Linked DNA regions of Danio rerio. The protein of the gene in region 5 purifies or fractionates together with the protein of the main gene of each other region. This does not show direct contact. Links are inferred from orthologs where the notes say so. Each region holds a gene or a part of one and is shown on either strand. Other genes may lie near its edges.

Region 1 (4,077 bases), on a different chromosome or scaffold from region 5:
GTTGCAAACCGAATATATACAGTTGTAATAATATACACAGAACATATACGGAATGTAAAATTACATTAATATACACTCAACGGCCACTTTATTAGGTACACCTGTCTAACTGCTCGTTAACGCAAATTTCTAATCAGCCAATCACATGGCAGCAACTCAGTGCATTTAGGCATGTAGACATGGTCAAGACGATTTGATCTACTGCCGTTCAAACTGAGCATCAGAATGGGGAAAAAAGATGAATAAAGTGACTTTAAACGAGGCATGGTTTTTAGTGCCAGACGAGCTGATCAGAGTATTTCAGAATCTGCTGATCTACTGGGATCTTCATGCACAACCATCTCTAGGTTTTAAAAAGAATGGTCTGAAAAAGAGAAAGTTTCCAGTGAGCGGCAGTTCTGTGGGCACAAATGCCTTGTCAGAGGAGAATGGCCAGACTGGTTCAAGCTGATAAAAAGGCTACAGTAACTCAAATAGGCACCCGTAACAACTGATGTATGCAGAAGAGCATCTTTGAATGCACAACAAGTCCAACCTTGAGGCGAATGGGCTACAGCAGCAGAAGACCACAGTGAGTGCCACTCCTGTCAGCTAAAAATAGGAAACTGAGGTTACAATTCACACAGGCTCACCAAAATTAGACAATAGAAGATTAAAAAAGCGTAGCCTGGTCTGATGAGTCTCAATTTCTGCTGCAACATTTGGATGGTAGGATCAGAATTTGGCATCAACAACATGAAGGCATCGAGCCATCCTGCCTGGTATCAATGGTTCAGGCTGGTGGTGCTGTTGTAATGGTGTAGAGGATTTAATCTCGGCACACTTTAGGCTCATTAGTACCAATTGAGCATTGTGTCAACGCCACAGCATACCTGAATATTATACTTAAGTACAAATCATTCCAGACTGGTTTCTTGAACATGAAAATGAGTTAACTGCACTCAAATGACCTCCAAAGTCACCAGAACTCAATCCAATAGAGTACTTTTGGGATGTGGTGAAACGGGAGATTTGCATCATAGATGTGCAGCCGACAAATCTGCAGCAACTGCGTGATGCTATCATGTCAATATGGACCAAAATCTCTGAGGAATGTTTCCAGTAACTTGTTGAATCTGCGCCACGAAGGATTAAGTCAGTTCTGAAGGAAAAGGAGGCTCCAACCCGGTAATAGTAAGGTGTACCTAATAAAGTGGTGAGTGTATAATGCTGTTCAAAACTAAAGGTCAGTGATTAGCATTTAAAGTATTTTAAAAATGAAATGAAATTTTAATTGCTTATCCTTAAGTTATCCTCAGAATATATGACTTCCTTTTCTCAGATGAACGCAACCTGATTAACACCATGCTGAATTATGGTGTTGCGTTTTTTAAAGCTTCCAAAAGTACATTGGTTCTTTTGTACAAGTTGTTGAAAATGCGCATTCAGCAGCTGCCGGAAGTCAGGCATTTGAGTTTATAATTTTAAAATTATAAATATTTTTTTGTTACAAAAACATACTTTTTTTTTACTTTTACTTCATACAACATGCGTTAACCTCGTGACAGCATATGGGTTCATTTTATGACAGATTTACAAGCTTAAAAAATGACCACTACCCAACACCATTATACCTGGAAGAGTCAGGATAAAATGTTAAACTACTCTGGCTGTGTTTGTCTGAAAGAAGAAAGGCATGTACACTAAGGATGGCTTGAGAGTGAGTAAATTATGAGGTATTTTTGCATTTTTAATGAACAAATAAAAACGGATTAAAATTATTAAAAGTGACTAAAGACATTAAAAAAATATGTTTTAAATAAATACTGGTCCATTGAGCGATTTATTTACCTTTATGTGTTTTGGTTTCCACAAAAAATATTAAGTAGAAAGCAACATTGATAATAGCAAGAAATTTTCTTGAGCACCAAATCAGCATATTACAATGACTTCTGAACAATCATGTGACAAATGAAAATTTACAATCATATGAAAAAGAATAGAATTTAAATTATATTAAAATAGAAACCAATTCTTTTAAAATGTAATTATGCCACAATAATACTATAGTATGATTTACTATATTTGTTTATAAAACACTCTGTGAGCAAAAGAGACCAGAAATCTTTGGTAATTATATTCATAGTAATATATAATCAGAACAGATTCTGTAATCATTTAAGCACCAGGGTTCCCAAATATCCTTGTTTTCCAGTCATGGAAATAATCTGGAAAATTATCGAAATGACCAAGTGTCCTGGAAAAAGTCCTTCTTGATCTAGATTTTGTTATTGTTGTTGATGTATTTTTCAGTTTGAATCTACTTACTGTTGATAAGCCAAATATGATGACAGCTGAGCAAGGTTGTGGCTTCTACGGCAGAATGGTAATTACAGTTAACGTCAGAATTATTAGTCCCCTTTGAATTTTTTTTTCTTTTTTAAATATTTCCTAAATGATGTTTAACAGAATGAGGACATTTTCACAGTATGTCTGATAATATTTTATTTTCTGGAGAAAGTCTTATTTGTTTTATTTCGGCAAGAGTAAAAGCAGTTTTGAATTTTTTAAAAAACATTTTAGGGACAAAATTATTAGCCCCTTTGAGCTATTTTTTTTTCGATAGTCTACAGAACAAACCATTGTTATACAATAACTTGCCTAGTTACCCTAACTTGCCTAGTTAACCTAATTGACCTAGTTAAGTCTTTAAATGTCACATTAAGCTGTATAGAAGTGTCTTGAAAAATATCTAGTCAAATATTATTTACTGTCATCATGGCTAAGATAAAATAAAACAGTTATTAGAAATGAGTTACAAAAACTATTATGTTTAGAAATGTGTTGAAAACATCTTCTCTCTGTTAAACAGAAATTGGGAAAAAATTAAATGGGGGGCGAATAATTCAGGGGGGCTAATAAATCTGACTTTAACTGTATATTTCAGTTTTCACCCTCTGAGGTTTCTCAAGTGCTTTTGTAGCCATTTTTTTTTTTGAAAGTGCATTTCATTTAGTTAAATTTTAGTGTTTTATTTTGGAAGAACGAAAATTGATCATACACATTTTTTTGACCACTTTATATATTTTTTGTTTTATAACGATTTTAATATAACAAATTTTAAATTTTAAATAAATTGCTCCGGGTGCTCCGGTTTCACCCACAAGTCCAAAAACTTTTGGTATAGGTGAATTAAGTGAGGTAAATTGTCCCTAGTGTATGTGGATGAATGAGTGTGTATGAATGGATGTTTCCCAGTGATGGGTTGCAGCTGGAAGGGCATCCGCTGCGTTAAAACATATGCTGAATAAGTCAAAAAATCATGTGTCTGACCCACTTCCATTCTTCTGGCCTACTACCGTTCCATTTTCCATACCTTTATGGCATTCACATTCAAATTAAAAAACAACATTTAAACAAAAAAGCAAAAGTTAAATTAATTGCAATTTCAAAAAATGCCTACAACAAGTCCATTTGAGATCAACTCCTGTCATAGTTTATGTTCTGGAAATTATTTCTTCTAAAGAGTGGGAAACCTGAGTGGGACCAATGTGTAACAACCCAAATGACTCACTTTGAAGAGAGAGAAGTAAACTTGTTTAGTGTCAGGATCCTCCTCTTTATGGACACACGTGTACAAGTACTCCACATCCAGTACAATCCCAAGCAGTCTGTTCATCTCCTCTTCTGACACATTCTCCAGGTGCGTCACATGGTCACCTAGGCAGTAATACAAACACATGAAATTGAGACTTTATTTGAACCCTAGGGATTGATGACATTGGTCTAAAAGTTTTTTACTTAAGGTTTACTGAAATGCATTATCCCTAAACCTTAGTTTCTCTATGGTTGAGAGCACAAGGTTTTTTTCTTCTGGAACTCTGTCGTTGTGCTCTGTTATTACACAAACAGTCATTACCGAGGGCGTGGCTGCAGCTTCTGCATGGCTCCATTAGGCTGACAGCGGTTGGTTGCTCAGCCCTGGGTGGGGTTGGAGGAGGCGGAGTAGGGGGAGGGTTTTGACTCTTCCAGCCATTACACTTACAAGCTCCTTCAGCCTGTGTGAAAACCAAACAGATCATTCAGGAGCAGACATGA
Region 2 (4,768 bases), on a different chromosome or scaffold from region 5:
ATTATAAAAGAGTGACCAATATATTTATTATAGTATAGCTATTGTAATTTCCTTAGAGTCAAATGACCATTTCATACTGAGCTATTATTCAATATCATATCAATATCTATGTGAGGAATAAAGTGTCAAAACCTTACATAATTAAACTGATCAGTCAATACATTCTAATGTTTACATTTATGTCAATGTTTCATCTTCAGATGTACCTCATTAAGCCACGTTGCATCCCACACAATGAACTGATTTAATTAATTGCATTAATATGTATTTGTTTCCATTTTAATGAGTCTTCAGATCAAATACATTTCATTATTATGCCAAGAGTACAATGGCTCTCTGCTCATTAAAGTGGTGACGGATTGAAAAAGGCCAGTGTGTGGCCTGCCACCCTCATTAGCCTGCTGTTTACGTGGATTGGCTTTTCTTCTGCACAACACTATTAAATGGCTCTATTGTTTCCAGTTGCTAAAGTCCTCCAATCCAATCCCTTCCACTATTGCTCAGGCTAACCTTATTTGCTTCTACAACGCGACAATTATCAAGCCGCAATTAATGCAATCACAATCATGCAAATGTAATGGAAATCATCTGCATCCATCATCTCATTATTTATTACTCAAACTCAAAACAACAACCTCTAATGCTAATCAGGTCACTTAAAATGTTATGGATGCTGCGAAAATGACAAACAAATTCATCAATCTGCCCCAGATCCATGCAGTCATCTATCTATCTATCTATCTATCTATCTATCTATCTATCTATCTATCTATCTATCTATCTATCTATCTATCTATCTATCTATCTATCTATCTATCTATCTATCTATCTATCTATCTCTACATTTATCCATCCATCCATCCTTTCATCCATCCTTTCATCCATCCATCCATCCATCCATCCATCCATCCATCCATCCATCCATCTATGCATCTATCCATCCATCCATGCATCTATTCATCCATCCATGCATCTATCTATCTATCTATCTATCTATCTATCTATCTATCTATCTATCTATCTATCTATCTATCTATCTATCTATCTATCTATCTATCTATCTATCTATCTATCTATCTATCTATCTATCTATCTATCTATCTATCCATCCATCCATATCTATCTATCTATCTATCTATCTATCTATCTATCTATCTATCTATCTATCTATCTATCTATCTATCTATCTATCTATCTATCTATCTATCTATCTATCTATCTATCTATCTATCCTGTATTTATTTTATTAATAAATCCTTTTTATTGTTGTTTAGATCTATCTAATCTTAATAACATTTGGTCTACTTAAAAAATACATCAATTCACTTCAGCTGACGTGGCTGGAAAAACACGCAAAGCACGAAATTTCATAGCATAATTCGAAATCAGGACACACATGACTAATATCCTTTTTTACATCACACAACACAAACGGACTTCCAGCGCCAGGAAGAAGAGCGCGCGCACGCCCAGCCGCGGGTACGTGCACGTACAGCTGTACTAACGTGATGTCAGAACGCCGTTGAGCTCAAAAAATGTTAGCCTGTGTTGTTAAGTCTGAAAGCTACAGGGGATTTGCCAGACGGAAATAATACCGTTTTATCGCCGAGAAACACATGCACAGGCCACACGATCGCGTCGCGTGTTTTTATACGTTTTTATATCCTCGTGAAGCGAGCGTCTTGGGTTTATCCTGAGAGAAAGTTCGTTGGTTTTTTTGTGGGAGTGATGTCGAATCCTGGGACTCGAAGGAACGGGTCAAGCATCAAAATCCGACTGACAGGTAAAACACCCTCTAATACGCTAATTTATCGCTTTAATGTACTAATTTGTTGTTAGTTATCATTTTATACGTTTGGTTAGCTTATAACTGTGTGTCGGTCGCAAATGTGTGTAAAACGCTAAGCGAGGATCCTGCTAGCTTCTGCTGAGGCGAGTTGCTGCAGCCCTGTCTCTTCATGCTAAACGCATGCTAACACGAGAAGCATCCCTTTTTTATTTAATAAACAGCACAATAGTCAGTGGACCTGCTTTATTTGCACTTGTGTGAACGTTATCAGCCGAAAGCAGCTCCCCGTGCACAGTTTGTTAGGTTGGATTAGTCATAAATCAGCTGAGTATAAACCGGATGAGGCAGAGGCAGCTGTTTTCTCGGTTTCCCCTCATCTGGACGCCAGTGTCTTCGTTGTAAATTAAGATTTTAATACGTGACAGACTGTTCATTAATGTTTTGCTTATTGCGCTGTGCTTGCTTTCGGAAGTAAGCTAACTATGGGGTTGATCTTTATGTGATAGTGTACTGTTTCACAATCCACAGATGGGTTTTTTGGGGGAGGATTTTTTTCCTTACTCTTTTGAAACCGCTCTTTGCTTGGAAACGAACAGGATATGATAGATGCATACTGATCTCATTGATATCATCACAGACATAGTGACAGTGCCCTGGAGGAGTGCTTTTACAGTTGCCTTTTTATTTTTTTAAACCAGATCTGATGTTGACTTATCAGTGCCCTTTAAAGCGTTTGTGGAATAGGAAGACTGGTAAACGCCAAATGACAAGGTTATGTGGTTTGCATTTTATTATAGACTCAGTAGAGACCAGATTAAACGTTTTATTCTTTATTCTTGTATATTAGATTTTAAAAGTGAAGTTTCATTTGTAAATGTTAATGCCCTTCATTTATATTGAGCAGTGTGTTTGTTACAGTGGTTTGTTGATTTTGGATGTAGTAATGATGTGTACCCTTTGTGAAGCTGCTTTATTATTATAATTATTAACGAAGTAAACTTGAATTGAACCGTTTTTATCTTTTGTTTACAGAGTACAACAGTTCATTGTCAATGTTAGCTCAGAGACAGCTTTAAAATATACAACTTTTGCAGTAGTTTGGTAAATGCTGAAATGAACGTTAATGCTCTGCTGCGGTTCAGTCATTTATTTTCATATTTGTCTTCATAATGGTATGAAAAACTAAACGTTTTGGCACATTACCATTAACACAAACACACAACAAAAGGAAACAAGCAAAAATGTGATTATCATGATAAGAAAGTGTTTTTAAAATGCAAATGCTTGTGGTGTTTTAGTCAAATATAACCACATCAGATATAAATTATAAATGAAGAAAGTTTATTTCACATTAGATGATATCTTTCATGATATAGTTTTATTATGAGGGTAGTTATTCCAGAGAATTTACTAAAAGGTGTGCAATAAATAAGCTTTGTGAAATAACTAAGCTTAAATATTTAAGGAAAGAAGATGACTCAATCTTGTTAGATTATTTTTGTATTTTATTTTAACTTTACTATAAATATTGTAAACCAAATATAACTTTTAATGAACGAATTACACTCTCACATTTTCACAGTTTTATGTGGACAGACCTTATTATTATAAACATTTCACACATCATCTTCTGATACAAAACTATCCTATGGAAAAAAAAAAAACTTTATCCCTATAACTGCCTGCTCTACCACACGGTTGACCATCTTTTTACTGTTTTAAATAATCACCGTTAAAGTCATTTTAAAGAGAGTTTTAAAGAATGGTTAACACAATACAGCATTGTTGGTTTACAAAGAAAAAAAGAAAATCCTGTCGCACCACTTCGGCATACATCAAAAAAATTCATGTGGTATTCAAAAATGTTTATTTTTTTATATTTTAAAATATAAAATAGTCTTAGACTTTATACTTTCATATTTTTCATAGCATATGAATTAATTTCTGTAGTTTTACTATAAATTAACATTTCTACCATTTTTGTACATGTTAATATTGTAGAAATTATGGGATTATGGTAAGTTTATGGGGGAAAAAATTGATTTAGTGTTTTAACTAGCGACATTACGAGTTAAGAAATGCAATCCAAAAATATTTTTCTTGGTGGGCGGTTAAAAGGTTAAGGAAATATCAAACTGTTTTTTTTTTATTCCTTTAAAAATGCAAAATAAAAACAATTCAAGAGTTCAGATGCTAAAACCTCTATGCGCTGTCTGAAATGTCCATCAAAAATAAACTTTTATTTTTCAACCTCCTTTGTTTATGTTGAATTATTTTACTTTAAAGACCATAAAAATGACTTATTTGCTATAAATGTGTTTATTACTAAACTTACACACAGGAGCCTGAAAAAAATTCTCAGTTTGAAAGAAAATTTCAGATGGCATTTTCTAGGTTCTTGCATTTGAACTCCTCAATTACAATTCATGGATAAATACTGAAACTAAGTGATCAGTTCTCGTTGAAAAAATTAAGCGATTGGCAACACTGCCAGTCTCCCATGTAGTGTCTTTCTTGGCCTTATGCATAATGCTTGTGAGTTCGCCACTCCCACTTATTTACATTTGGTGGTATACACAGAATAAAATAAAATTAATATACACATTTCATGCCATAAAGATGATTTATATCGTCATATAACGATATGGCCGATAAATGGTATTATATCAAATCGCAATAAAATTGATGTCAATAACAAATATAAGCTTGGAAGTTTTTTTTACTCTATATTGATCTCGGAGCCAATCACACTGCAGAAATGTGCAACAATGGGAATCTAAAAGTGTATAGATATTAGAGATGTACCAAATCTGGAAGCATTATCAACTTATATCGAAATATTTTTGCCATGCGCTGTAAAAACTGCTGGGTTCTACATAACTAATTTCTGTAGGGTCAAAATGAAGGAATTAAGTTTAACTTATAGTTTTCACATTTAAGTGGATTGAACATAAAACAATTAAGTTGTCCCACAAAAAA
Region 3 (4,708 bases), on a different chromosome or scaffold from region 5:
TGTTCTATCATTCCATCCATTCATCCATCTATACATCTGCCCATCCATCCATCCATCCATCCATCCATCCATCCATCCATCCATCCATCCATCTATCTATCTATCTATCTATCTATCTATCTATCTATCTATCTATCTATCTATCTATCTATCTATCTATCTATCTATCTATCTATCTATCTATCTATCTATCTATCTATCTATCTATCTATCCATTCATTCACCCATCCATCCATCTATCCATCCATTGTTTTATCATTCTATTGTTCCATCTATTGTTCCATCCATCCATTGTTCTGTTGTTCCATCTATCATTCTATCCATCCATCCATTGTTCTATCATTCTATCATTCTATCTATCGTTCCATCCATCCATCCATCCATCCATCATTCCATCCATCCATATAACATTCTGTTTATCATATTCTTCTTAAACCAGCAAATAAACAAGCTAGCTAAAACGATCACACTTTACAATAAGGTTCATTAGTTAATGTTAATTAATGCATTTATTAAGATGAATAAACAATGAACAATACATTTAGTACTGTATTTGTTCATGTTAGTTAAGGCTAGTTAATGAAAATTGTTCATTGTTAGTTCATGTTAACTCATAGTGCATTAACTAATGTTAACAAGCATGGACTTGAATGATAATAATGCATTAGTAAATGTTCAATTATGGTTAATAAATGTTGTACAAGTGTTGTTCATGATTAGTTCATGATAGTAAATGCATCAACTAATGAACCTTATTGTAAAGTGTTACCGCTAAAACTATAGAAACCACCCAGAACTCTCCTTAGTCGTCTTATCTGTTAGTCTGTCTCATCTGTCATTCATGATTATGAATCAAAACTGCTTCAAATTGTGAGATGAGGTCTGGGGACACTACACATATATGCACACCTAAATACACATATAGATAGTTTAGATTAGCACACATTTGTTTTTAACCAGGCCACTGAAATCAGGCCATACATGCACGGTGTACACCTCAATATTTCGGAAATTGAAATAGGCCGGCCGCAACCATGTCAAACTCCAAAAGCAGAGAGTATTAGGTACAAATGAGGGTAAAAAGAGGGCGCATGAAATGACTGGAGTGGCTGTTTTTAATGAGGCTAACATCGAGATAATATCAAGTGGTGAGTGAGGGTGGAAGGGTGGTTTAACAGGCCCCAAAACCACCAAAACACACTCGAACACACCCTCACACACTTCAACACTCTCTTTTTCCCTAATAATCCTCAGCTATCCTTCATTTTGTACTTTTTTTTTTACTCAAGAGTTTGTGTATGAGCTGTATGTTTTTGTGGTCCCCTCTTCAAGAAGGTCCCATCATCTTCTGGGAAACTCTTCAAACACCAGCCATGGGCCAATCAGATGAGTGAGAAAGGCACTGGGAAGAAAAGGAGAACTTGAATGCATGCAAGCGAGGGAGAGAGAGAACGTCATGTGACTGGAGTTCCACCTATCAGATCATGGGATTGGCGAGCAGCAGTGATACCGCGGGAGCTGTGACCTCGGATACCTCAGACATGCGACTGACAGGCCTTTACCACGGTGATCACCACTGTAAGAGCGTCAGACACCTGACATTTCAACTCTCTGACTGAAGGCACGTAGACTCTACAGCAACCACTTCTGGAGAGAGAGAGACGCACAGAAGTGTCCATCAACAAAGGTGAGTCCATTTCTATGAGAGTTAGTGCTGTCCTCACTTTGTCTTTCAGTCTTTCTCTCTTTCTCTCTCACTCTCGCTCGCTCTCACCACACGGCACATATGCTGTTCTGTTAGTCGGCTTGTGGCGAAAGATTCCTGTGGCACTCTCAAACCCCAAATTCTTGGTTGCAGGCTGTCTATGTAGTTTCTGTATTTCTCTTTCTCCGACTGTCATTCTCTCAGGCTGAAGACGGTACGACGGCGGAGAGGCCAGCTCTTTTCCCTTCAGAGCGGGACACATGGCTTCAAACAGCATCTTCGACACATTCTCTAGCTACTCGCCCAGTTTGCTGCGAGGTAAGTCACCCGCCGTGCCATTCCCTTCCTTTTTTCTTCACCGCTGTGGTGTCTAGAAAGCTGGTTTTGGTAGCCGTAGCACTCTTAAGAGCTATCTGTCTGCTGTAGTTTGCATGTTTGTTTGTGGCAGTTTAGCAGCTGTGAAAGTGTGACATGCATGTGGGTTTGACGTTTGACTTTAGATCAGTTAATGCTTGCTTTGTTTCTGCAAACTGCTTGAGATGGGTATGATAATGTGTCTGAATGGCCTTCGAAGAAACCATGAGAAGGTACAAATAAAAAGGCAGGGATCTCGCTGCACAGATCTGTGGAAGTTGGAGTTACCTGCGCATTTGTCTTCTGTTAGATGTTTGTTTTGTAATGCGGCTGTCTGTTTGGAGCAGGGTTTGGATCATAATGGCCTGCTCACCGCAAGCATTAGCACTATAAACGCACTCTCAGCGCAGGGCGCAAGGGAGGAACCAGCTAGACCAACCTTTACTGGAACTCGCAAACCAGTCAACTTCTGGAGCCAGGGCACTCTCGGCCTTTCTGTGGTCGCTGTGTATATGTGTGGGTACGAGCCCAAGTCAACATTAGTGATTTACTGGCATCTGCATCTCCTGAGCTCCTCAGAAGAGGCCATTTGTCACTATGGTAACGTCAACATGTGATGAGGTGCTTCCTTTTTCTTTGGATTGACTCCGGCTTTGTTTGGAAAAACAAAGCAGATTCATGATCCTCACGCAGAGCTCGTTTAGGGTGGGATGATGAAGACTAAAGTGAGTGTTAGGTTAAAGTGATGTTTACTCTTTAATACATGGACCTTGTCTAATTGTGCATAATGCATCTCTGTGGTCACTCCAAATGCAAATGTCTGATGATGTCACAAATCTATAGAACTACAAGACGTCCATATACAGTCCCATTCCCAGTTGCAGTGGGGGAAAATATAGAACAGGGGTCTCAAACTCAATTTACATGTGGGCCGCTGGAGGCAGAGTCCGGGTTAGGCTGGGCCGCATCAGGTTTTCCACAAGAAAAACTTGTTTAAAAATATTCCAATCTTCTCAAATCTCTTTATTTTTATTTTTTTAACAGAAAATAAGATGAAAAAAATAAACAAATTAAGAATTAATAAGAAAATGAATCAATCGGTAATAAATAGGAAAAATAATAATAATAATTGTCAAAATAATAATAATAATAATAATGAAAATAACAATAATAATTAGATTTACTGTAAATCACCGTGCTGTTACAGGAAAAAGCAACAGTTTTGTCATTTGTTTTGACTACTTTTACATTATATAGAAATTATAGGTGGGCATGGATACATTTTTTTTAATCTAGATTAGTCTCACTGTAATCTTGAAATTAATCTAGATTAAAATGGCTCACTTAAATCCTGCCGAAGGCATTCAGGATAAGTGTGCTACCCAAATAATGACTAAAAGTAAGTCTTTAAGAACGGGTTTCTCAAGCCAGGTGGTGCATTAAAACCAGGGGCTCATCTCCTGTTTCCTAAATGCATCACAAACTGCTTGAGAAACTGTTCTATGATAATTAATGATGAAAATAAATGATGTTCAATAAGATGTGCTTGTGTTTACTGACTGTTTATTCAGTTAAACATGAATTTTGAACTGTAGTCCTACGTAAGCTCCAAACAGCGGTTTTTGATGACCTTAATCTGACTAAAGTCATAACTGAACTCAACAGAAATGGAATTAAGACATGTGGAGTATGCAGATATTAGTGGCGTTATTGAAGTAAACACCACAATCAAACTATTACCGTCATGTAGGACTTTTCGCCATATTTTACAACAAATTCCACACACGCGGCTGTCAGTAAAGGACCGTGCACACACACACACACACACACACACACATTGCGAAATGCAGAAGTTTTTTTTTCTTTCCATTCTGCGTGCGTTATTAAATTCTATAACACTCTCACCATCCTTACTCCTTATTTGCATCTAATACTCTAGTTTGTCATGGGAGCATGAATGAAAGGTTCATGAATGAATGTGAAACTGCAGAAGTAAGTGAAAGATCCAGAGGGGCATCCTGCTGATTTGATTCAGAAGGGCACTTTTTTGTCAGACGGCTCACCGGTCAGGTATACATCCGCACTAAAATATCAAGGTGAAAGTCATCATAGCTTGCGTAGAATAGACCCAGAATATATTAACGGCGATATTTTTTTATCGCACAAGAGTCTCACGTTAGCGCAGCACCACTAATAGAAATATATGTAATGCACATGTAATATATGCTTTTTTGATCAGCCTCGTTATCAGATTTACTTGTAGTTTTAAAAAATGAAAATATTTGCAAAAATTTGCTATTTTAAAAAAACAGATATTGTTTAGGACAATATTGTTTATTGTTCAACCAAAGAGAGTGATTGGAAATGTAAGAAAAGATGACTGGATAAAAATATTGTTCATAGCCAATAGTTAAAGTGACTTTTGCTTGCTCTCATTCATTCACACACACACACACACACACACACACACACACACACACACACACACACACACACACACACACTCTCTCTCTCTTTCTCACACACACATAGAGGTATTCACAACAAGTTAATGCCGACCTCATTAAAATGAATACCAGAAAGCAAAACACGAATATCTGACATTTTCCGAAACAGGATCCGGCAAGATCCGGCTCAAATTAAGCACTG
Region 4 (4,077 bases), on a different chromosome or scaffold from region 5:
CTGTTTTTGCGTTACTATCTTCCACTACAACAACATTCTTTGATTGCAAAGCCATGACGCCAAATAATCACGCACTCCTCCCTGTTAGGAAGAGGTAAAATGTGTCATTTTTGCTGTTGATCATGAGTTGGCAGCATAAACCCTTTAGAAAGGCCTGTGCAAACATGCTTTAAACACACTTACTATGCTCTGAGAGCCAAGCAGCATTTTGATTTCCTCAGATATATCAAGATAAGTGCGCAAAGGTCTCTCACACACACACTATACTCCACATAAAAGCCAGAAACAACATTTGTTTTGCACTGCAACTGATGATCAACGGTAAAAATGACAAATCGTACCTCTTCCCAACAGGGAAAACCAGCAACAATCAAGAATGCATACTAATATGATGCAGAGGCTTTGAAATAAAAAAAAGAAAGTAAATGGGGCAAAAAGGTCACTAACACAATGGAAGGATATTAAATTTGCAGAGTGTATTGTTGAGTATTTGAACATTTGCGTCAAAATAAGATTGGTCACCAAAAATCATTCCATTTGCTGAAACACGGAGAAAACTGCGGGCAAATTAATACTCAAAATCAGCCCAGAGTACAGACAAATCTCCACTTCAGCAGCACTTACATACTCCAAACTTACTATTTTGCAGGTTTTTATGAAGGTATTTGTTCATACAAAATTAGCCTGATCATATGAAGCATTTGTTTTCTGGCTGTTCACAGAATTATGGAGTGAAAAATACACCCAACTAATGAGCTCAGGGGCTAAAGAAAACAAGCAAGAATACTAGATACTAGTACTTAATCCTTACATACTAGTATTTACCTATAAGATACTGTTGCATTAAAACAAACACTAGTTCTTATTTAATGAATGCTAGCACTCACTGATTAGGTACTTGTGTCTATAAAATAGATATTAGTTCTTACTTAAAATGTTATTAGCAAGATAATTCAATTTACTAGTCAATTTTTTTTACTGAACTCCACTGTGTCCAATAATGCTAATCAGAAAAGAGGAGTACCATAATAATTCAGAAGATCATGTATAATAAACAATAACTACTAGTTTCTAATAATAGGGACTAGTATGTAATGAGTATTAGCATCTAAATTCCAGCATCGAAAGGTATTAGCATTTAATAGCAAAGTACTGGTGTCTATTTAATAGTTACAAGTATCTAAAGCAAGAAAAACATGGAAAGCAAGAAATGAGTCAGCTGCCTTTGAGCATCAAGTTTGCTCAGAAGGACAGAATTAACTTTCTAAGTAACGGAGAAGTTCAATCATTTAAATCCGACGCACATTTTGTGAACTTCAAGTTAAGTGTTGTCTAGCTTTATTCCTAACATTTCTATTTAAATTGGGGATTTTTAATCGTTGATGCCTATTTTTATCAATATTACTATATAACATTTTTATTATTTAAAATAAAATTCAGCTAGTTCCAAAGGCAACATTTCTAATCTTTAAGTACTTCATTTAAACTATCAAAATAATTTCTAGCTGAAGTTGAAATTGACCATTTCCATAAATGTTATCATCAATAGTAACACGGAATTGATGATGTCTAAATATTAAAATGAAAATATTTTGTAACATTAAATGCACAGCTCAGAGATCACTTGCATCCAATATAGCATTAATGATGTGTTTGCAATGCATTAATTACAATACAAGTGCTTAATAAAGGCCTCTAACACAATTCTGTAAGAAATAACCTTAATAGGAAAACATGCAAATCTTATTTAGATTTTATTTTGATTTCAATTTGCTCTGTGTGCTAATATCAGCACGGATAAATTGGTACTATTAGGTATTATGATCTGATATAATGAATGCCAATTGACAATTGACAATAACAAACGTGGACGATTATCAGATTATAACACATCACTTCCCCTACAATCTGATAAGTGCAGATTCACTACATGCAATGGGCAACCCTCTGACACAGTGCTTCGACAAAGTGTCTGGTGCTGTCTGTCAGCAAGGTGTGAACTGCCCTTTATACTGTTTATTTGTTTTAAAACATTTGTAAGCCACTTGACCTAGTTGATGACTGAAACGCAGGAATCAGGCCCACTGTGCAAGTCATCCTGGCTCTCCGTTTCAATGTGCATGCGTATCTCTCTACAAATAACTGAATCACTCCCACACAGATGAGCCGTGCTGATACAAGCAGCATATTCCACTGGGTGCAGGGATAATTCACACTGGGTATAGTTTGTGTTGTTGTGGTTGTTGCATCACATCGTGATTTCGGGCATGCTCAGATATGCATTTACCTGTGCATTGTACTGTGCCTCCTGCTCTTTAGGCTGACAGGCGCAACTCTGCTGTTTGAGCTGCTCGAGCCGGTGCTCCAGCTGCCTCTGCTCCTGCCGCACCTCCCCCAGTCTCTGAGCATGCTCAGTGTGCACCGCCTCCAGCTCGTTCTGCAGCTCCAGCTGCTCCGCAGACAACTCCCTGAGCCGGGCCGCCTCGCCCCCGCGCACTGCCTCCAGCTCCTGCACACACAACATGACATGCGTCAAACTATCTGTGCCAGAGCTTACGGGTCTGCAGTGGACAAGTCCGGGCTCACGCTGTAACAAGTCCTTTCACTTTTCACATGACCAAAAAAAAAAGAGCTTTCATGATAATATATAAAAAGACAACTATGGCTCTGTTCCAACCTCATCAAACTGCCTATTAGACGAGTTGTTTTTAGAGATTATATGCATGCATCTGACGCAAAAATCACACCGCCTCTTCCAAGATAAAATCTAGGGCAGAATCGCATGTATCATTTTAAGGATGAGACAATCCCAGAAGCAATATGGCAAGCTTAATGAGCATTTTCATCCAAAATGGCAGCAAGAATTGTTGCATACATGCATTAAAAAAGGGTACAGATGAAAATTGATTGTTTTTCATTATTTGTGCTTATGAAGCTCAAGATTTTTACCATATGTAATTTCACATGTCAAATTATAAGCAGCAGAGATGCTTAAGGGTATTTTCTTTTTCAAACTCAAACGTGTCAAAGCAATTTATAAACCACTTACATAGATATGAATGAAATGTATTACAATTGACACATTGAATTAACATCAGTTTCATTGAACCTTTTTAAGCATTCATCAGCAAACATTGTGAGCAGATTAAGATGTGTACTATCAACAAAACAAAAAAAAAAAAACATAAATACTTGGGCTTGACAAATAACATGGTTTCCCCCACAGTCCAAAGACATGCACTATAGGTGAATTGAATAAGCTAATCTGGCCGTAGTGTACATGTGTAATTGTGAGTGTGTGGGTGTTTCCCAGTACTGGGTTGCAGCTGGAAGGTCATTTGCTGCATGAAAACATATGCTGGATAAATCAGCGGTTCATTCCGCTGTGGTGACCCCTGATGAATAAAGGGACTAAGCCGAAGGAAAATGAACTAATGACAAATAACAATTATTTCTACATTACTATTTGCATTATTGTTTACCACTCTGTTCCTGTAGTCACTTTAGTGTGTATGTTTCCCTGTATATTATATTTTTACTACATAACATAATATATATATATATATATATATATATATATATATATATATATATATATATATATATATATATATATATATATATCATAAAATCACAATTAGCCTTTTAAACAGCTTATTTGTAGGGCCCACACAAAATTTGTGCGTGCAGAAATCTGGAGATTATAGCCCATCGTTGAGTCTATTCATTTACTTGTGTTAATGTTAGGGATGCTCTGATCAGGAATTTTGCAGCTGATTTCGAGTAGCAATCCCTCGTCATTTTAATCAGCCAATACCAAGCACCGATTTTGATGCTTCAAGCTTTATATAACTTTGCCATTGCATAAGCACATTCTCCCTCTATGTATAAGAACTCACCTTACCTAAGAGAATAAATTAGGAATGTTGCGTACATGTAATGGTTAGAAGCAGCTTAACAAAAAATAACAGATAAAACAGATAGAAAAAAATGGTAAGAAAAATTACTGACATTGCAATTTGGAAACACTGAGCATGTGTTGTACCACTGTGGATCTATAACCTGGGTTGTAAACAC
Region 5 (4,537 bases):
TAGCACAGCCTGTGAACTGTTTTAAACGTACCAAAGATTGCCATACACCAATCTGAGTGAACGTGTGTGGCCAAGGTCAAATGACCTACAATGTTAAATTTTATTTTTGCCTTTATATTATTATAAATGAGAAAATTCAGAAAATAACACAAAACTGCACATTGTTTTATTTATTGCTTCCTGCTTGCCAAATATGTCTTGTGTAGAGGGACGAAAATGCTGGGCTCAATCTGATAAGCATAAATCAAATCAGACTAGTGCAGGCGCTTGTGTTTGCATTTTGAATGTAACAGCTGGCCCTTGGCTGCACACACTTCTCTTGACATTTCTGACCCAAACTCCCTTCGGCATATGTCCATGTGTGCGTTTGTGTGTGTATGTGTGTGTGTGTGTGTTAAAGATAGCAGTCTGTGATCACAATATAAGTCAAACACAAACATTCAAGATAAACAATTAAAGGGGGGAAACAAAGCCATCACATTAGAATAACTAAAAATTTAAAAGTAAAAGAGTAAACTTAGTATAATGTAATCCACCTCATATGTATTAGCTAAATACAATCTACCCATCCTCAAAAAGTGTTGTTTTTTGAGACTTGCATTTTGGGATTTTGAGCATTTACTACAACATTAGGGACGTACATGATTAATTGTTGTTGTCATGCACAGGCAAGGCTGCTGCATACTCAGCGTTGTATCTTTCATCCCCACTCCCTCACTAAAAAAAGCAGGCCATGCCCAGTATCAGATTAATTAAACACTGTATGCTGCGTTTGGTGGGATCCCCTTCTCACACAGACAGTGCTATGCTGAAAGAAAAAGTGGGGGTGGAAAAGGTAGAAGGAAGAAAAGTGAACATCTTTACTCTTTTGAGAATTAAAGTGTAATTACTTTTACTGAGTCTGTAAATGATAAGCAAGGTTTTGTATAACCCGTTTCCTGTGTGTCACTGTGGTTATTGGGCGGGTTTTATGAGTGTTTACAATAGCACAGGAGGAAGGGGACAATAAAACTTCAGAAGGTTCAACTCAATCCTGTCTTAAATAGATGACATGGTTCCTAAATCTATAGCATATTGTTCATCTTATTGTGTATGTACAGAACTATTTTGTTGATGTCAAATGCTACCCTCATGAAGGGGCCACCATAAAATATGCTTTATCAAGATATCAGTATATAAAGTCGTCATTTGGTGTGGCTGTACACATTTGCTAAACATATTCTGCACATATTTCTAAAGCACTTTGAAACTGAAACTTTTAAATGATCAGAGCACTGAGTGCAGTCAGCTTCAGTAACGTTACGTCAGAGAGCCGCAGCACGCAGAACAGCGGAAGACTTTAGATTTAAGTAAACCTCACTTTCTAAAATATTAATGCTCAGGAACTGACTGCATATTAGTCACAGATGAGGTATTATATTTTTTAAATTAAATGAATCTGTTTTAATTACCAGCAGAAAGTGTTGTGCTGACCGGATGCAGAGGAACTATTTTTTACGCGGAGTGATCTGAACGGCCTGGCAGCGGTGTGTGGCGCGAGCTATGCCTGACGATCTCAAGGGACAGACAGACAGAGAGAGCTGTGCTGAGCGCTGAACTTGAGACCGTGTCTCAGTCACGTCTCAAGTCCCTCTCACTTTTCTTCATATTATTCCCATGCTCTAATCAGTTTACTTTGACACAAAACCTTCGGATTACGCTGAAGATAAAAAGTATCCCTAATTTCCCTCCGAGTTGCGTGAGAGACTGCGCAATAGAGGAACGCTGAACTGAATTCAACATGTCAATTTTACCTTTCACTCCGCCGATCGTCAAGAGGTTGCTGGGCTGGAAGAAGGGAGAGCAGAACGGACAGGAGGAGAAATGGTGCGAAAAGGCCGTTAAGAGTCTAGTGAAGAAGCTGAAGAAGACGGGACAGCTGGACGAGCTAGAGAAAGCCATCACAACTCAGGATGTCAACACCAAGTGCATCACAATACCGCGGTGAGTGCCATTAAAAACATCCTCGACTTTACTTAGAGAAGCATCGGGTTGTGACGATTGATTTTAGCAGAACCCGTCCGGACAGTCTCAAACTGAAGCTAAACACCAGCACGGCGAAGTTGAAGAAAAAGCCCAGCAGAGGCTCTTTTATTGTGAAATCAACTCTTGTGTTTCTCATATCACGTTAATTCATAAACCGCGTCTCATTACTGTAACGTTATGTGCTGCAGCTCGTATCTCGCTCTCTGATCAAATTCCGACACTCCAGTTGATTTATTTCAACTTTATTCTCTCATGTGCTTTCACAAACACACATTTGCCTTGCCTGAGGTTGTCATTTACTGTCTGATGAGGTTATATAACAGCCCGACCTTAATCTGAGGAGCGCTGTAGCTGCTGTATCTGGGCTAAACGATGTGTTGCGATGTTTGTGTTTTAAGTTATATTTTGGTTGGTTGGTGCATATATAAGACATTTGGTACTTATTATTTTTCTTCATTAGAGTGTACATGTGGACGGGGTTGTTGTATGAATTGTATTGTTGTTATTATTATCCCTCTGAGTTTTGCAATGGCTGGTTAATCCTGTTATGTCACAGTGCGATGCTGGCCAACTGCCCACAGGTCTTGCCCGTATGGTCCACTCGAGGGTTGCCCACAAGCCTTTACACTCAGCAGACCTTTAGTTTCAAGAGGCATTTCAAGCTTCAGCCAATATAGAAAAACATTGGTTTACTTGTTTGAGTTGTATATATTACACATAGCCAGTTATTATAGAAGTTCATTTGGTTTTTCATATGCATTCTGAAAAAAAAAAAAAAAAAAAAAAAAATATATATATATATATATATATATATATATATATATATATATATATATATATATATATATATATATACACAGATTCAGTAGATAATCAGCTAGAAGTTCACTTGGATTTCATCACAAATTAATATATAGCCAATTAAACCAACAGATCTTAGGGGATTATTTGTTAACTTTAATGATACAACTATGTTGTTCCTCATCTTTTGTTTGGTGCCAAATCTCCTGAAAGTAGGGCTGTGATTTGGCCTAAAATCAAAATCTCGGTTAATTTATCATTTCAACTCGATTACAATTAATGAACGATTATTAATTAATTAATTTATTAATTTATTTATTTTTGCCCTCATAGTTCACTGACGGGTTTTGTACAGTAAATATGCTCACATATTACAGGTAAGAGATTTCTTACCTGTAATAAAGGGTGAATGAAGGCTGTAATGAAGGGTGCATTACTTAATTTTAAAATAACTGAAGGAAACACACATGATCTACTGTCTATGATTATTTATTGAACATCAACGTTGAACAACTGAAACTAAAACACACACTGCACAGGTGTGGGGTATGCTATCGCGCAATGCTGCGTGTGAGTTGGATGCACAGGTTTACATCAGCCTTAACTCGCGCGTGTGACTCCACACACAATAGGGAAAGTAATTGAAAAAATTGACCTGGAAAAATTTCGATTATAGATTCTGAATGTCGATTTCGATTACTTTTCGATTAATTGCTCAGCTCTGACGGTGACAAGAATAGTAAATGCTGTATAAAATAAACAATCATGTCATTGGGATTGTAACATCCATCTCATCTGTTGTCTTTATATTATATTATTTAAACACAATAATATTCAATTTTATAAATGTGAATACTTTTATTCTGCAAGAATGCTTTTGAATGAATCAAAAGCTAAATAGAAATGTTAAAAAGGATTTCTCTTACATATAATTGCTATTCTTTTGAACTGTACAAGTATCTAAGAATAATTTTTCTTAGACTACGGGTCATCTAAGTTAAAAGGGATTAAAAGTGACAAAAACAGCTAAGATAAAGGCCTTATGTGAAAGTTAAACCAGATGGATGTGTATGATGAGTGTAATTCATATGTACTGAGTGTAAAAAGTAAAGGAATTCATGCCATATTGGTAATTAAATCAGGTTACCAAACTCCCCAGACCAGTGTCTGTTTTTTAAAATTGAAGCATCCTCTTGACTGGAAATGTTCTTGTGATGGCAGTCACAGTATGTAACAGTTTTTTATCTTTATGATGGAATTTAATCTGGAATTAAATCTCAATTTCATTTAATAAATGTGGATTTTAATTGTACAGAAAATCAGTGTTATTTTCTAGAGTGTTAAAGTATTTTGAATACACTAAAATACTGTTTAGGGTAAGGCTTCTCAATCATCACAAGTATAATTACAGGTAGTTGTAGCAATATAAAATGGGACCAAGTTCTACAGTATGTTGAAATTATACAAGATTTGGCCTTTAATTAAAATCTCGATTAATTGCACTTTATGATTAATGGATACTTATTTTATTTATTTATTTATTTATTTATTTTTTGCCCTCATAGTTAACTGACAAGTTTTGTACAGTAAATATGCTCACATATTACAGGTGAAAGATTTTTGAATGAAGGGTGCATTACTTGATTCTGAAATAATTGAAGGAAACACACATGATCTACTGTCTATGATTATTTATTGAACATCAACACTG
Region 6 (3,926 bases), on a different chromosome or scaffold from region 5:
CTGCACCACCAATTATAACGGGAAAGCATAACCTTTAAAATATAAACAAAAACAACAGTAAATAATTATATACTTGAATATAATCAGACTGTGACAATTAAGACTAGTGTTCAGAAACATGGCATCGAATGGTCTCTCCACATGACACGCGTCTCTGAATGCAGCAGTGTAGTTATTCTGTTGGCAAGAAACAAACGAGAGCTTATGACGATTTCAATTTCATACAGATGATTTCAACCACCACCACCACCAGCACCACCACCATTCAATGAGATATTTACAGCACTCCTTTTTTTCTTTAGAGTGTGTGTGCATGCCGTTCTTGGACTAAAAACTACAAAAAAAGGCCCAAAAAAAACAAAAACAAATTAATAATAATTAAATGGAATACATCAGCTAAAAAAAAAACATCCTCAGGGAAATAAACATCCACAATATATGATACAATTCAAAGCTTAAATATAGGCATACTTTAACCAGCACATGCAGCTATGTATAGCCCAACAGAGCTCCTTGGAATTAAGGAGGGGAGTTAGTTACTTGTAACAAAACAAAATGAGAAGCAGAAGAGGCCGGAAAACTTTCATTTGTGTTTGTTGTAAGATTTAAAGTCGGAAGCCATTTTGTTATTGAATCCATAAAGACGGTATATTTCAAATAAAAACAAAAGCAAATACATCAAAGAACCAGAAATGTGTGTCCACTTGCACCAGACATGAGAAGGATTGTGTCCTAAAAGTTCTCATCCGGAGCAAACAATGCTCTCTTTTCCACTGATTTACGCCACAGTTTCTCCCTTGACTCCAACGGACAGAGGGAAAAAAAATAGAAACAAAAACACAGCAGCTCACAGGTTTAAACACCATTGCTTGCATATGGCTGACAAAACTGATTGGGCGTCCTTAGTCGCCCGACTGCTCCTGAACGTGTTTCCCTCTGGCTGGGAGCTTTTCGTTTATGGTGAAAGAGAGCAGAGAGGATGGTTGGTGGCCGTCCTGCATGTCCTTCAGGAGAACGTGTCCTTCAAGCTGGACGTGCTGGAGCGCTGGTTCAGACGAGACATGCTGTTCATGCTGGAGCTGGAGGGTTTGAGAGGTGTGTTGGAGCCTAGGGCTTGTGGGAAACGCTGGTGGTAGCGATCCAGGCGCAGGTACTTGACCGTCACCAGCTTACCTGTTGGAAACATGTGACATGTTGTTGAAGCGTACTGAAAATTGATAATTAGACTAGAGGAAATATGATAGTCGTTTACCATCGAACCAGGAGCCGTGGAGCGCTTTGAAGGCTTTCCCAGAATGCTCTGCTGAAAGGCACTTCACGTAAACGCAGCCCTAGACGGGAATAAGATCATATAAGCAATTCATTAGCTAAAAGCCTCTAGGGACGTTACTTTGCTGCAAAAAACACAATGAAACTCATTTAGTGAAGGGAGAGTCGTGTCTTTTGGGAACAAGGCAACCATCGAATACCCGGCTCAAATAGAGATGAAAGCTTAAATGTACTTAAACGTGGATTATTTCACCTAATATTTAGTCTTTTATATTTAGGATTTGTTAGTTTAAGATCAAACTTTATTGCAGATAGTAATTGGTAGTTAATTTGGATTTTTATTTATTTTGTTCATTTCAGGTTATGTCATTTTGATATGCGATTTAATAATATCCATTAACATTTTTAATTAACTTTATACAATTTTTTCTTCAGTTTTAGGGTACATTTACCAGGGTTTCTGCAGGTTTTATACAGTCAAATCTTTAAGACTTTTAAGACCGTTAAAACGAAACATTAGACTTATACAGGTTTTTTTTTTGTTTATTACCAGTACTATCATAACAAATCATAATTATTTTTGGTTTTCTTATTTTTTTAAATAAGGAATTTGCAGTAAAAAAAATTAACAGCTGTTGTGAATAGTATCTTCTTGCAAAAAAAAAAAAAAAAAAAAAAAAAAAAAATATATATATATATATATATATATATATATATATATATATATATATATATATATATATATATATATATATATATATATATATATAAAATCTTTAAAAAAACCCAATAAATAATCTGATGAAAAAAACCCTATTCAAGTCTAGAATTTCATTTTTATTTTAAAGGGTCTTAAAAAGTCTATATATTAAAAGTCTTTATATATATATATATATATATATATATATATATATATATATATATATATATATATATATATATATATATATATATATATAAATAAAAGGTTTTATTTAAATGGTTTGTTGGTGATTAGAGGCATGTCAGCCCAATTGAGTAGCTTTACTTGGACAAAGCAAAATTAAGACCTGTTTAAAATTATTTAACACAACCTACAACACAATATTTCTGCAAATTTAAGACATTTTAAGGGCTAAAATTTACTTTTTGTAATTTAAATAATTTTAAGACTTTAAGACCCTTTAAAAAACCATAAAAAAATGAAATTTTAGACTTGTACAGGGTTTTTAATCAGTTTATTACCATTATTATGATGGTGAATCAATATTTTAAGACATTTCAAGACTTTTAAAGACACCCTGATTCACACAACCAAATGGTTCTGTGTTTGGAAAGTTTTGCACCCAAAAAAAAAACAAAAAAAACTTAAATGCTGTATGCCAGGCCATTAGTTAGTGATGTCACCTACTAAGAAATACTACTTATGCACATATGGTCGTATAGTGTGGTTTTGGTTTTCAAGTACAGTTTAAACACATATTATACAAAAAAAAAATAATAATATAAAACTTTTTAATAATTTATATTGACATAATAATGGTATTATTTTCAAATACTTGATAAATTCATAAAAAGTTTTGTATCACATCAAGTATTTCATTTTTTTCCCCCAAGCGCTAAGTTTCCGACAAAAAAAATATTTACAGATATCCTAACTTAATTTGAAAGTTTTAGTTAATAATGGTTTCACACAGCTTAATGAAAATGAATTTTACGCAATATTCTGTTTAAGCTCGCTTTGTAGGGCGTCTCTAGCTCTTGGACAAGAACTTTTAGATCCATTGTGTAAATTATGAACAACCCACACAAGCCACTCACCTCTCTTGAGTTTTTGTCAACAGCTATGTGAACGATTCCATCATTATCACTGCACTTCTCCAAAATGGCTTCTTGAATGGCGAGATGCCAGTTTTCCCCCACTTCCCTGTAGAAGAGGGAAATTATGGTAAGTACAGTGAGAGAACTACTCTCTAAACTACTCAAATATCAGGCAAAGTTTATGATTACATGAAAGTAAATAGATTTTACATGCCTGAACAACTATTTAAATTGCGTTCATGTGTTAAAGTCCTTGAAAAACTTACATTACAGGATCAAACATGTTGCGAATCTTCAAGCATGGCGTTAAGCTGTTTGGTGGCGAATTTCTTCGGTCCAGCGGAAATGCTGAAGAGCAAAACAAGCCACTTTAAATCAACAAACACAAACGATAATCACCAAAACAACGAGGATGCTCAAAATAAAGGTTGTTTACATGTGTAATTTTCTTGGTTTGTTTTGTTCAACAACAGAAACATAAAAAGATAATTTTTAGTCCTGATTTTCACTGCATTCATTAGCTTTAAAAGACAAAGGAAAACTTACAGGACATCCAAAACAATACTGCATGCTAGGATGTTGCATGTGTGATCACATTTTTAGACTCCTTAATAGCGTATAAAATGTGTAATAGTCAATATATTGCCAGGAATTGGCATTTCCCAAACAAAAGATCTGCTGAAAGAAGACATGTTTTGGAGAGCTGCACTGAACTGCAATGGGCAACATCATAATTATGACAAGAAACACACCTATGGCTTGAGCATTCTGCATTTAACGGTCATATCTTGTGTCACCATGTCCTGTTTTTGGTTTGTTTTGATGTCAACGGTCCCTGTTGTGTTTGCTGCATTTAA
Region 7 (4,077 bases), on a different chromosome or scaffold from region 5:
GGCTGGAGATGCTGGCGAGGAGGGTAAGGGTTGGAATAAAGAGCTCATGGCTGACACAGAGTGAGTGGCAGATGGGAGCGGATCCAGTGGAGATGGGATGCGCAGCTGGAAGTCGTCATCCATTGGGATGTAAGGAGCCAGCATCTCTAGGTCGAGATCCTCCATGGGCTAGAGGTCACAGAAATGTGCAAGAGAGATTACAAACCATCTAATGACTGCAAAGTTGTGTATTTTATTTTATTGTTTTATTATAATATTGTTTTTTTTATAATTTATTTTTCTTTCGTTTTCTTTGTAATAATATAAAATAAAAAACTTAGTCTTTTTTATTTGCATATGTACTTATCAAATCTGTAATTGTGTTTTATGTACATGTGTATATATATTCATATTTGCAATATATAAGCAATACTTGACAAGTCATGCCAATAAAGCTCATTTGAATTAGAATTTGATTTTGGGAGAGAGTGAGACAAACAATATGTAGTTAAAATCTTAAATAAAAAGTTACCTGGGTGGAAAAAGGTGTCTTTGCTTCGGTATCAATAGCAAACAGTTTCTCAACCAGGTCGAGTTTAAATTCAGAACTGATGTCTGGTTCCACTGGGAAACCGTAATCCATGGGGCTGTTGGGCTAAGATTGACAAAAAAAAACAACCTAAAGTCAGTGACAGTATCTCATTAACCATTACAAGGGAGCAATTGTTGTTAAATGACCAAGAATAGCAAGCGTTTAATAAGTGTTTACCCCCGAAGAGCCGAGTCCAGATGTGGAGGGTGTGTTTGTGGGGTCTGGCACACGATCAGAGGCAGAGCTGAAAGGGAAGTCCTCTCCTCCAGTCTCTAGTTTGGTCAGAGCTGGGATGGAGTCGCTGGGTGTGAGAGGAGATAGGCTGAGTGGCAGCTTCTCACTGCTGGAAGGCAGCATGACATCATTGTAGAGGGGCACCTCCTTCAGCAGCTGTATGTCAGAATCTGGAGGGAAATGGATACCGGTAATTATTATTGGTAGACCACCAAGGAACTGTGTGTATTTAATATTAGATTTACTTCAGTAAAATTATGAAAGCACATTTCCTGTAATCTCAGATGATTAGTGAATGACAAGAGTTGTTAGTCTTCATAAGATAAAAAGCTGCCAGGGGATTGCATTTAATCCTCTAAAGCAGTGTTTCTCAACTATGTGCCTGGAGGACCACCAACACTGCATGTTTTGGTTATCTACATTGTCTGTCACACCCATTATAGGCCTTTCAGTCTCAGGGAAAATGTGCAGAGCTGGTGGTCTACCAGGAATGTGGTTGAGAAACACTGCTCTAAAGATACACACTCTTGAAATGTTTATGGTCAGTAATACAGAGTTCACACCAATTGCAAGTTGAAGTATTCACATGAGTAGATTACATCCAAATTCAATGCAAAATTCTGTTAAACATAAAAGATGACTTTAGCAGAGTATAGGAAGTTGGTAGCCATTAGCTATGTAACAAACCTAGATTATCGCATAAAATGTGTGTATAAAGCAGCGTTTCCATCAAAGCGAACAAAATAGTCATTTCCTGATTAACTGGCACCAAATATCAACCAAAAAAAAAAACGAACTTGCTGGAGTAGAAGAAGCTGTGTCAATCTTCTCTTCATCTAATAAATGATTTGCACCTTAGAAGGCAATCCTGACACGCAATGAATGCGCAGTGGCGTTTGAAGGTGTGAGACACGAAGCACAGACGCTCTTGATTCTGGAGGTCATTAATAATATAATAACACTAATACTTAAACGGTAAGGCAATTTAGAATGACCAAAACAACATTTCAGCTGTTTTATATTGTGCTCAGCCAGCTGGTTTGTCCATTTACAAACATTTTCATCACATGATCTCTTATAACAGAATCACATGACCATTTTTAATGCTCATAATGAAATTTGTGCGGTAAAAGTGTTTTCATCGTAGTTTACACTTCTTTTCTTATCGAATAACAAGTTTATCCTACTCAGTTAAGCGCATAAGTTCATGCGCATTTTCAAAATGTATGCGCATCGTGGCGTTTCCATCAATCGTTTTTTTTTTTTTTTTTTTTAAATAGGTGGATCGAAGCATAGCTACTGACTTACATTGTAGGAAAATAAATACCGTTTAAGTCAAATGATACTAGTTTCCATCATTCAATAAAGAAACAAACATTTTTTTCTTCCATTCAGCATGCGGTATGAACTTCCATTACAACAACTCTTCCAGCAGTTCATAGTTGCATCCAACATCTCGTTTGTCATCGGGGGCATGCACGAATGAAAGTGAAAGTGCCAAACCGCAGTTAAAGTTGACAAATTAACAATAAAACACCCGAAATTACATGAAACTTCGGAGGAAATGCGGATAATGCGGTGACGCAATGACGGTAATCTAAGTATGTGCTATAACATGTAAAATGTGATCATGAAAGAAACTTTCAAAAAGCAACTCATGTAAACGCCTTTATCTTATTATTGTAGATTAAGGCAAATAATTCGATTACTGATGTCCATGTAAACATAGTCAGTGAAGTCTCTTACGTTGCAACAGAAATTTATTCTCTAAATAGACGTGCATTTGAACTTTCTACTCATTAAAACATTACAATTTTCAACAATGACTACAATAAATATTTCTTGAGCGAAAATCTGCATCTTAGAAATGACTTCCAAAGAATCCTGTTAAACTCTAAAAGCATACATCCCTGTTCATACATCCCCCAAATTACACTTTAAAGGTTTGTTTATGTTTAATGCCATGCCAGGTTCTTTGGTTATTTTCATGGCGAGAAAATATCAACTGACTGCAGTAAAGCTTAAGTATTTTTTCATTTATTGCTAAAATCTCTTAAACCATATTCGGTTTAACAGTGATAAAAATGTATTCAAAAGTAGCATAGTGGAACTAAATAAAAAAATGTCTCAAAGAATTAAAGCCAACACAAACTGTGTTGAGAGAGAACATGCTTCACAGATAAAGTGCTTTTGCAAAGACAACAGATTGGAGGATCTACTCCTACAGGTGAAAAACATACTGGGAGTATCTATAATTGTACTAAAAAACTGCGTGTCATCTTTGATTGACCCATTCTACAGTGGGTATAAACAACTTGATTCCACCAGTTAGAAATTTTAAGGTTTCTTTATCAATATTGGGGCTAATTTCACAGAGTTCACTTTAACTGTAAAAAATTAAAACTATAGACTAGAAGTGTTAATAAACATTGCAGGAATGTCCCTTAAGACTAATCTAGATGTGAATATATAAAAAGATATGTGCATCTTTGCTCATGGATCTTTTAATAAGCTCTCATTGAAACTGAATGAATTTAGGTGGCTTCCAGTTACTCTCAAATTACTGAAAAAATGTACCCATCCAGCAAGAATTACCTGAGTTGTTGAAGTCCAGAGAGATAATGGCGTCGCCTGCTGCAGGTGCCAACACAGTGAGGGCCTCTGGCTCCTCTTTCAGCTTATTATAAAGTGTAGAGCTTTCCAATGAGCAATTGAGGCTTTCTGGCTTGAAGAGCTTGAGAATATCCAATTCAGAGGTCTTTTCCTCAGTCTCCTCACTTTCTTTCTCAACAGCCTTGGGCTCAGTCACGGTCTGCTGCAAGGACAGGACTACATCCCCCTCTACAATGCCACTGGATAAGACAGAGTAGTAAAGTTGAAAATATGAGTTAATTAGCATTTATGCATACATTTTACATAGAAACGCACAATATATCATTTCAGAATCAATATCACAAGTGAATCCACAATAGTTCTATTGCAGGACCTGCAATGTCAAATTAGGATTATAGTTGACCAGGAACCACAGGAGTTTTCAAATACATGATTTGTAAAGTCATTGCTAATTTGAACTTTAAAGGTACAAAAAGTTTAACATTTGTATGTTTTTAAGGCCTGTGACAAATGTATTTCTATATTTTACATGATTTGATTATTATATTTTCGTCAGAATTCTGTTTGACTCATAGAAATAACATAATGTTGTGCCCCACTGTATTTATCAATGCTTGTGGCTGATTTATTGAATATTTTGTACAAATGCACTCCTCTAA

Evidence for each region.
Region 1: the proteins of smad3a (region 5) and kat2b purify together in Homo sapiens (affinity purification with western blotting, with the first as the bait; 3 studies listed by BioGRID). This does not show direct contact. The link is inferred for Danio rerio from reciprocal best matches to the Homo sapiens genes SMAD3 and KAT2B.
Region 2: the proteins of smad3a (region 5) and smurf1 purify together in Homo sapiens (affinity purification with western blotting; 3 studies listed by BioGRID). This does not show direct contact. The link is inferred for Danio rerio from reciprocal best matches to the Homo sapiens genes SMAD3 and SMURF1.
Region 3: the proteins of smad3a (region 5) and runx3 purify together in Homo sapiens (affinity purification with western blotting; 3 studies listed by BioGRID). This does not show direct contact. The link is inferred for Danio rerio from reciprocal best matches to the Homo sapiens genes SMAD3 and RUNX3.
Region 4: the proteins of smad3a (region 5) and skila purify together in Homo sapiens (affinity purification with western blotting; 6 studies listed by BioGRID). This does not show direct contact. The link is inferred for Danio rerio from reciprocal best matches to the Homo sapiens genes SMAD3 and SKIL.
Region 6: the proteins of smad3a (region 5) and lemd3 purify together in Homo sapiens (affinity purification with mass spectrometry; 3 studies listed by BioGRID and IntAct, counting the BioPlex papers as one, with this or other methods). This does not show direct contact. The link is inferred for Danio rerio from reciprocal best matches to the Homo sapiens genes SMAD3 and LEMD3.
Region 7: the proteins of smad3a (region 5) and hif1ab purify together in Homo sapiens (affinity purification with western blotting; 4 studies listed by BioGRID and IntAct, with this or other methods). This does not show direct contact. The link is inferred for Danio rerio from reciprocal best matches to the Homo sapiens genes SMAD3 and HIF1A.

The regions. Positions count from the first base shown.
Region 1 is NC_133194.1:23,127,133-23,131,209, reverse strand, and holds part of kat2b (histone acetyltransferase KAT2B), read right to left. Parts: intron 4,038-4,077; coding exon 3,899-4,037; intron 3,700-3,898; coding exon 3,554-3,699; intron 1-3,553. UniProt on the Homo sapiens protein: Functions as a histone acetyltransferase (HAT) to promote transcriptional activation. Has significant histone acetyltransferase activity with core histones (H3 and H4), and also with nucleosome core particles.
Region 2 is NC_133178.1:39,719,750-39,724,517, reverse strand, and holds the start of smurf1 (E3 ubiquitin-protein ligase SMURF1), read left to right. Parts: upstream 1-1,510; 5' UTR 1,511-1,728; coding exon 1,729-1,783; intron 1,784-4,768. UniProt on the Homo sapiens protein: E3 ubiquitin-protein ligase that acts as a negative regulator of BMP signaling pathway. Mediates ubiquitination and degradation of SMAD1 and SMAD5, 2 receptor-regulated SMADs specific for the BMP pathway.
Region 3 is NC_133188.1:48,796,240-48,800,947, reverse strand, and holds the start of runx3 (runt-related transcription factor 3), read left to right. Parts: upstream 1-1,835; 5' UTR 1,836-1,965; coding exon 1,966-2,023; intron 2,024-4,708. UniProt on the Homo sapiens protein: Forms the heterodimeric complex core-binding factor (CBF) with CBFB.
Region 4 is NC_133177.1:40,281,893-40,285,969, forward strand, and holds part of skila (ski-like protein), read right to left. Parts: intron 2,510-4,077; coding exon 2,288-2,509; intron 1-2,287. UniProt on the Homo sapiens protein: May have regulatory role in cell division or differentiation in response to extracellular signals.
Region 5 is NC_133182.1:34,224,137-34,228,673, reverse strand, and holds the start of smad3a (mothers against decapentaplegic homolog 3a), read left to right. Parts: upstream 1-1,580; 5' UTR 1,581-1,780; coding exon 1,781-1,983; intron 1,984-4,537. UniProt on the Homo sapiens protein: Receptor-regulated SMAD (R-SMAD) that is an intracellular signal transducer and transcriptional modulator activated by TGF-beta (transforming growth factor) and activin type 1 receptor kinases.
Region 6 is NC_133179.1:13,491,969-13,495,894, forward strand, and holds the end of lemd3 (inner nuclear membrane protein Man1), read right to left. Parts: intron 3,418-3,926; coding exon 3,336-3,417; intron 3,176-3,335; coding exon 3,070-3,175; intron 1,332-3,069; coding exon 1,253-1,331; intron 1,174-1,252; coding exon 1,007-1,173; 3' UTR 622-1,006; downstream 1-621.
Region 7 is NC_133195.1:22,873,452-22,877,528, forward strand, and holds part of hif1ab (hypoxia inducible factor 1 subunit alpha b), read right to left. Parts: intron 3,658-4,077; coding exon 3,401-3,657; intron 976-3,400; coding exon 749-975; intron 635-748; coding exon 512-634; intron 169-511; coding exon 1-168.